2 linked regions of the Macaca mulatta genome follow. The protein of the gene in region 1 purifies or fractionates together with the protein of each later gene. This does not show direct contact. Links are inferred from orthologs where the notes say so. Each region holds a gene or a part of one and is shown on either strand. Other genes may lie near its edges.

Region 1 (4,204 bases):
TCTGTCTCCTCATTACGGATACTCTCTGCTTCTGTAACCTCCACCCTTCCACCAGGGGATGCTCCTATCTGCTCACCAGGCCGTGGTCATCAAAGGCCCCTGCACAGAAGTCCTGATACAGGTCAGGATCCAGAGGTAGGTCCTCATCTGAGAGTGGCTCAGGCGTGGCTGTAGCCTCAGGAGGCTCCTTGACTGCTGATGATGCCACTGCTCCCTCATCTTCACGGATGCGCCCTAACTTCTGTGATGGCTGTGGCTGCTGTTGGGTGGGCAGTGGCCGGCGGGGCCTTGGCAGGGACTCTGAGGGCGTCACTGGTGAGAGCTGCGGGGCAGAATCTCAGGACTGGCCCTGACCGCCCTGCCCGCATGCCCCGCCCCACCCTGGGGAGCTGGACTCACCGAGGAAGGGAAGTACTTGTACGATTCCTGTGCCGGCAGGAGGAAGGCCCAGGTCAGCCCCAGGTGGATGGAGGGCGGCCTTGCCCTAGCCCCACCCACCTGGCCTGGCCTTACCTCCCCAGACACACCTCCCCACTACCCCTTACTACCAGGAATGCTCGCCCCTGTCTTATCTGTACTGACGTGCATGACCAACTGGAAACACCTGACCCCACTCTGTCCACCCAGGGTTGGTGGGGGTTCTGCCAGCCCAGCATACCAGCTCATGCCCCATTCATTTGGACATGACAGGTCCCTTCCCACCTGTCTAGATACAGTCAGGCCCAATCCCACCTGGCTTAGCCATGCCTAGACTACACTAACCATGCATGGACCCACCAGCTCTCCCATACCTGACCCTACCCAGCTCTGTCCATGCTCACCCGGGCCCGCAGCTGGCACTGGCGCAGCCGGCACTTCTGCCGGATCTTGTTGGGGCCCCCAAACTTCTTCATGTCCCGACAGAAGTCACAGTGACCACAGTCCTCAGTGCGCCGACATGCCTCACACTCACCACACATGCGGGCTGACCGTTTGATCTGCTGCTGCTGCTGCTGGTGATGCTGGAGGAGGGGGCCCAGAACAGAAATTATGGACCCAGGCAGGGCTGAAACGGAACCACTTTACACATCTACTCACTTTATGCAGCCACTCACCTGGCTGGGTGTGGCCACCAAGGGCTGCGGCGAGGATTTGTGGGGCGAAGCAGAGCCCCGAGCAAGCATGGCCCCAACCCCTGTCCCTGACCCTGCCCGGCGCTGCAGGTCTGGATCGGGGACAGGCCTCTTGCGCCCTCCACCCTCATCCCGGGGCTCACTGCCGTCCCGCTCATTGCCATCCCGCTCCCGTGACTTCTTGTGCCGATAGCGAATCTCTAGTTTGGGGTCTTTCTCTGTGGGGCAGAGAGTAGGGCCAAAGTGAGTGAGCACTGGAGGGCCTGAACGGTCCCAAAACCTCTTTCTTCCTCTTCTCTCCCTTACTATCCCACCCACCTACTCTGCACCCCTGTCCAGGGCAGAGCTGCCTCTTCCCGTGGAATCTTCTATTACCACTCACAATGGAGACCCCATTCCAGCTCACCACAGACGTGTATCACTACTCCCCATGACCCCCCATTATGGCTCCTCCTCCTCCCTTGAAGCCCCACCTGCCTTCCCTGTCCATCCATGGCCCTCACCTCTGCACTCCCGGCAGTACCACTCCCGGATGGCCTTGGCCATCTTCTCAGTGATCCGGATGCAGTCCCCATGGAACCACTCATTGCAGTTGTCACACCCGCTGCGGAGGATGGGGCAGGCGGTGGAGATGTGAGGGGCGCGGCCCATCGGCCTCACCCCACCCTGCTAGTGTCTGCCCCGCCCACCTCTCCCGGGCTCACATCATGAAGCAGTTGATGTCCGGTTTGCGACAGATGCAGTAGATGGGCGCATTCTCTCCATTCTCCGACTTGCTGTCCTCCCCAGCATCTGGAGGTTCTGGGTCTGAACCATCTCCCTCCTGCGGGATACCCCCATTACGGATCCTTAAACAGCCCCCACCGTGGCGGCTTATCCCATTACAGCTCCACCATGGTCAGCAGGGATCCCCACTCTGCCTGCAGATTTCACATCGGGGCCCCCCAAAAACCTCTCCATCACAGTCCCCACTGACCTCCATCCCTTCCCCTGACATCCTATTACTTTGCTCCATACTTCCCATCACGCACCCACCGACACCCGCTCCCTGCGTCCACACTCGCTAATGGGCCATCGCGATCCTTCATCGTGGCGCCCTCACAGACCCCGCGTAATTCACTGCGGACTTCCCATCGCGGTCTCTACGCACCCCTCCCTGTTTACCTCATAGACCCACCTGGCACCCGCACCCACCCCCAGTCGCGGCTGTCCACGGATCCCCGGACACGAACTCCTCGTCACGGCTCACTACAGACCACCCAGTGTGACTCCTCACAATCCCCGATCACGGTTTCCCACGGAACTGCCACCCGGAGTCCCCACTAAACTTCTATTAAGGACTCCCCCACCGTGGCTCACCATAGAACTCCCAGATGGTTCATCATTCTGCCCACAGACTCCCGCCGTTCAGTCCACAGACTCCGGTTACGGCTCACCACAGACCCCTGAGTCGGCCGACAGACCCCACTGTTGCCAACCCCACCAACCTCCACCGCCGAACCCCTCCCTGAACCCGGTACTCACCATATCTCCGCTCCCGGCGCACTCCCTCGCGACCCCCGCCAGCAACCCGCGAACCTGCACAGACCACTCGGCGGCGTCCCAGGCGGTTGCAAAGGCGCCCACAACTACTTCCGCTTCTGGTCACGCCTCCCAGGCAGCGTACTCCTATTGCGCAAGCCCCGTGCGTCGTCTCCGCCGCAAACCAGTAGGTCGCTCGCCTAGAGCCCCCGAAGAACCCTCAGGCGCCGCCATCTTGATTATCGTATCCGTATGGTGGCCGAATCCACACGTTCGCCGGGAACATGGCAGCGCTCAATTGTGGCTTTCCCGAGGGCGTCGCCACCTTGTCAGTAGAGTCCGTACGGCGGCTGCTAGTACGGCCTGGACGTACAGGCAACATGGCTGCACCTACTGCGTGACTTCCTCATAGATGCCGTCATCTTGGAATCTGATTCCGTACGAGGGTCGAATTCGTACGTTCCTTGGCGACACATGGCGGCGACCTATTTGCGGATTCCTCAAGGGCGCCGCCATCTTGGTGGTTGATACCGTATATTGGCAGCTTGTCAGGCAGAGAGGTTCACAGGTAAAGCGGCCGCTCCCGAAACGCTACCTGGATCAAGTTGTATTCATTCCTCCATTCTGTCTCTTTCCCCTTCCACATGTATTGATGGGGTGTCGGCAGGCTGTGTGCCTTGCGGGGCGGAGGAAACCAGTTCCTCTGTCGTCTCCGACTTCACCTGCCACCACTCTTTCCGGCTCTCACTCCTCCCACTTGTCATTCTTCTGCCAGGCCTGGCACGGTTCGGCTTCTATTTATTTTATTTTTATTTAAAAACAATTGTTAAACTAATATCAAATCTTATTTTAGTTATATAAGCTGCACAATAAGCCTAAGCACAGTTTACATTGATTTATTGTTTAGCATTTAGAACATTTTCAAATATTATTCTAAATAAAGTTGCAACGAACATTCTTAAACATAGATCTGTATGCTCATACCTGATTATCTCTTGTGAAATGTGATATACAAAACGGTGTCACTCTGGTTAACAGCTGTAAAATGGAGCCTGGAAGCCATTCTTTCTAATTTTTATTTATTTATTTACTCATTTTTTGAGACGGAGTTTCGCTTTTGTTGCCCAGGCTGGAGTGCAATGGCGCGATCTCGGCTCACTACAACCTCTGCCTCCCGGATTCAACCTATTATCCTGCCTCAGCCTTCCGAGTAGCTGGGATTACAGGCTTGCGCTACCACGCCCGGCTAATTTTTTGTATTTTTAGTAAAGACGGGCTTTCACCGTGTTGGCCAGGATGGTCTGGATCTCCCGACTTAAGGTGATTCGCCAGCCTTGGCCCTCCAAAGTGCTGGGATTACAGGCGTGAACCACCGCGCCCGCTCCGCCTGGAAGCCATTCTAAGGACTCCTCGCAAACTTGCAAAAAGGAAAACAAACAAACCAAAACTAAAACACAATAGGAACTTGCCTGGAACCCTTGAATTGGTCAAAACTGCAATGACCACACCGTCCTGGAAACCAGCTATATTTCACCAGCGCTTCATCTCCTGAACAACAACCAATGAACTAT
Region 2 (3,517 bases), on another chromosome or scaffold:
GGCTGGGAGTGCAATCTCACCTGACGGATGTTCTGACCCACGTATTCGATGACCATCTCGTCAGCAGCAATGGGTTCCATGGCAAACAGACCCCACTCGTGGATCCGGCTCCGGCCAAATCGGAGCTTCTTCTTCCGGAACTGGGGGGCAGAAGGGAGACTCAACTGCCAGACGCCTGCCACACCCCAGACCCTCGCTCTTCCCAGACTTCCTGGGCAGAGAGCATTCTGGCCGCTTACCCCCCAACTCCACCTGAGGGAGCCACAGGAGCTTGTTGGGTGGTCCCCTGGCCTCTGCCCCTTCCTGCCCCACTCTACCCCACCCAGGCCCTCCCGCAGCCCGGTCTCACCTTGAGCTGGTTGAGTTTCAGCAGGTCACTGTCCATGATGGCGGAAGTACCGATGGCGCTCAGCAGCCTCCGTTGCTCGGACCGGCGCTCGGATAGCACGCGGTTCGTCCCCTGTGAGATGCAGGGCAGGGAGGAGGTGAGCAGGGCAGAGAGGTGAGTGGTGGGAGGAGCACGCGGCGGCGGGGTCGGGCCCACCTGAGTGTCCACGCCCTCCAGCTGCCGGGCCGAGACTGGGCACACATCCAGGTACTTGTCCTTCTCCTTCTTGCTGATGGGGTAGTAGCCTTCGCTACGGGCCGAGCCTGTCTGGTGCTCCCGGGGCCCATCCTGGGGCCGCCGCTTGCGTTTTGGGGTGGTCAGGTTGGTGAGTGCGGGGTGTTAAGGAAGAGAACGGCTCCTCTCTGGCCACCCGCGTCCCAGCCAAAGGAGAGGGCGGGGCCCACGCCGCTGAACATACTCAGGTGAGGGAGAGGGGAGGAAGCCCCAGCCCCATGGTTCCTGCCAGAAATGCTTTGGAAGGCAGAAGAGGCACCAGGCGGAGAGAAAAAGATGGCTTGGAGCCAGAGGGGAGGCAGAGTCGGGGACAGATGCAGGTGCCAGGAGGGGTCGGAGGAGGACCCAAGCCCACGTGTCCCGGGGAAGGCCGCCGGCCCCAGCGCCCACGCTCAGGATATTTGTGTGATGAACCCAGTGGGTGTCGTTGAGCCAGTCGGCCCCGCTCGTCTGCTGCAGCAGCCGCTCATAGGTGAGCCGCAGGTAACTCATGTCCTCTGAGTCCAGGCCCGAGTTCCAGATGTCGTACAGGATGGTCATCTGTTCAAACTCACTGCGCGGCTCGTAGGCGCGGGGCGGCCGTGGCGGGGGTGGGGGCGGTGGACGGCGGCGCCGGGCGTGGGAGCGGAGGCTGCGCCTCCGGAGGGCGCCCTCCCCATCACTGCTGCTGCTGCTGTCAGAGGATTCCTCCTCCTCCTCTTCCCCCTCTTCCTCCTCCTCCTCCTCCTCCTCTTCGCCCTCCTCCCGCTGCTGCTGCAGTTGCTGCGGCTTGGGCTCCTCCGCCTCAGCCACCACCACCTCGGGGGCCTCCAGGACCTCATCCGCTGGGGAACTGAAGAGGGCGGCGGGTGCAGGCACTGGCTCTGGGGGCCGCGGGGCCAGTGCCGGTGCTGTGGGCTTGACGGCCAGGGCGTAGTTGTGCTCCAGGAGGATGTGGCTGAGCAGGGGCCCAGGGCGCTCAGCCTCCTCCGATGTTTCTGTGGCCTCCGAGTCGTCAACAGCAGGCAGGGAAGGCAGCCCCCGCCGGGCAGGGGTCAGGGCCAGGTCAGCCAGGACCGCCAGGTCTACCTCTGTCCCTGGCTCAGCCTCCTCTTCCTCTGTGGCGCGGCCTCGGCCTCCAGCCCGGCTCCGGCTTCCTCGGGACACCTCCTCCGGCCAACTCTTGACCAAAGATGCATGGTCCAGAGGCAGGTTGCGGATGGTCCGCTCCACGCCCCGGGGGGCCTTGCGGGAGGCTGGTCCAGGAGACTTGGCCTGCGGCGGTGTGGCTGTAGGGGGCTCTGGGGCTGGCACCACCTCAATGGCAGAGAAGGAGACAGTTTTCCGGCGTTTCTTGGGTGGGGGCAGGAGGGGGATGGGAGAAGAGGGACGCTCATCGGGGCATGGGGTGGGGGCTGGGGGCCCAGCAGGTGGTTCTGGGGGAGGGGGGGGCACACTGGGGGGCAGCTCCTCCGTGGGGCCTGGGAAGGAAGCACAGAGGAAGGAAAGGAGGTCAGGGCGACCCAGGCTCAGCCGCCCTGGCCGCCCATGACCACAGGCCGTGTGCTCTCCCCCGCTTCCACCCAGGAACCTCGGGGGGACACAGACGCTCTGGCCTCAGCCCCACATCCCAACAACATGAACTCCCTTGATGAGAGGAGGTTTCCCACCCGTTCGTTCCCACTGTGACACGTGTGGGGTACACACACACCTTCCATGTCCTCCCGGAGCCACAGTCCAACAGGGGACACCACCAACACATAAGCTGTAGCCACGCTGAGAAGGGCAGCACCACATGCCCTGGACTCTGCTTTCCTACCCAGACTGGCAGGACAGCCCTGTGCCCAGGCCCCAGCCATGTCCCATGCCAAGGACCCAGTCAGCTACATTTCAGCTAAAACATCCATTACCTCCACCATAAACAATATTCTCAGTTTAGCGAGGTGAACATGATACAATCTAAAAAGCAGCATCTCTGTATTAAAATATTTTATGAAACTTGCCTTCCTCCCCATCCCCTACAGAACTGGAACATGCCCCGGGGGGAGGGGCAGGAGACAGCCCTGCCAGAGAAGTGGGGCTGGAGCGGAGATCCCAGGATGCGGGTGGCTGGGGAGGGAACACATTGGCTCCAAGCTGGGGGTGCTGCCTCCCCAAAGCACCCCCGGGACAGGGAGTGCATCCTCCCTTGGCCACCATCCCTGGGAAAGCCTGCATGAGGCTCTCAGAGCCAGCCCGATGGATTTTGTGCCTAACACCAATCACACCTCTTACGTAGCGTAATTCATGTAATCCTCACAACAGCTCAAAGAGGTTCCTATCTTCTTCTTTTTGCCCGAGATGGAGTCTCGCCCTGTTGCCAGGTGGGAGTGCAGTGGCGTGATCTCGGCTCACTGCAACCTCCGCCTCCCAGGTTCAAGCGATCCTCCCGCCTCAGCCTCCTGAGTAGCTGGACTACAGGCATGTGCCACCACACCCAGCTAATTTTTGTATTTTTAGTAGAGTTTTATCATGTTGGCCAGGATGGTCTCGATCTCTTGACCTCCTGCTCCGCCCGCCTTGGCCTCCCAAAGTGCTGGGATTACAGGCGTGAGCCACCGCGCCCAGCAGAGGGTCCTATCTTACAGACAGGGAAACAGGCACAGAGATGCGGTCACAGTTACCAGATGACAGAACAAGCTCTGCTCCCAGGCCATGTGGGTTGAGCTCATGCTCTGAACTGCAGCCCAGGGACTCACTGGCTTCACAACTGGCTTCCCCACTCAGCGCCAACAGGGCCCAGCACCAGGCCCAGCCCTATAAGGCAGCGATTCACCTGAGTCCACCGCACTCCCAACCCTGGCGCCCTGAGCCAGGCCCTAGGCTGTACCTTAGGCTCTGGACACCTGCTGGGGTCTCAGCCTGTGGCAGCAACCC

Evidence for each region. The genes of interacting proteins can lie anywhere in the genome.
Region 2: the proteins of CXXC1 (region 1) and SETD1A purify together in Homo sapiens (affinity purification with western blotting; 16 studies listed by BioGRID and IntAct, counting the BioPlex papers as one, with this or other methods). This does not show direct contact. The link is inferred for Macaca mulatta from reciprocal best matches to the Homo sapiens genes CXXC1 and SETD1A.

The regions. Positions count from the first base shown.
Region 1 is NC_133423.1:42,016,547-42,020,750, reverse strand, and holds the start of CXXC1 (CXXC-type zinc finger protein 1), read right to left. Parts: upstream 2,811-4,204; 5' UTR 2,640-2,810; coding exon 2,637-2,639; intron 2,558-2,636; exon of another isoform or gene 2,475-2,557; coding exon of another isoform or gene 2,472-2,474; intron 1,936-2,471; coding exon 1,817-1,935; intron 1,717-1,816; coding exon 1,616-1,716; intron 1,331-1,615; coding exon 1,095-1,330; intron 1,002-1,094; coding exon 822-1,001; intron 427-821; coding exon 400-426; intron 323-399; coding exon 77-322; intron 1-76. UniProt on the Homo sapiens protein: Transcriptional activator that exhibits a unique DNA binding specificity for CpG unmethylated motifs with a preference for CpGG.
Region 2 is NC_133425.1:29,612,076-29,615,592, reverse strand, and holds part of SETD1A (histone-lysine N-methyltransferase SETD1A), read right to left. Parts: intron 2,083-3,517; coding exon 1,024-2,082; intron 718-1,023; coding exon 545-717; intron 461-544; coding exon 350-460; intron 141-349; coding exon 21-140; intron 1-20. UniProt on the Homo sapiens protein: Histone methyltransferase that catalyzes methyl group transfer from S-adenosyl-L-methionine to the epsilon-amino group of 'Lys-4' of histone H3 (H3K4) via a non-processive mechanism.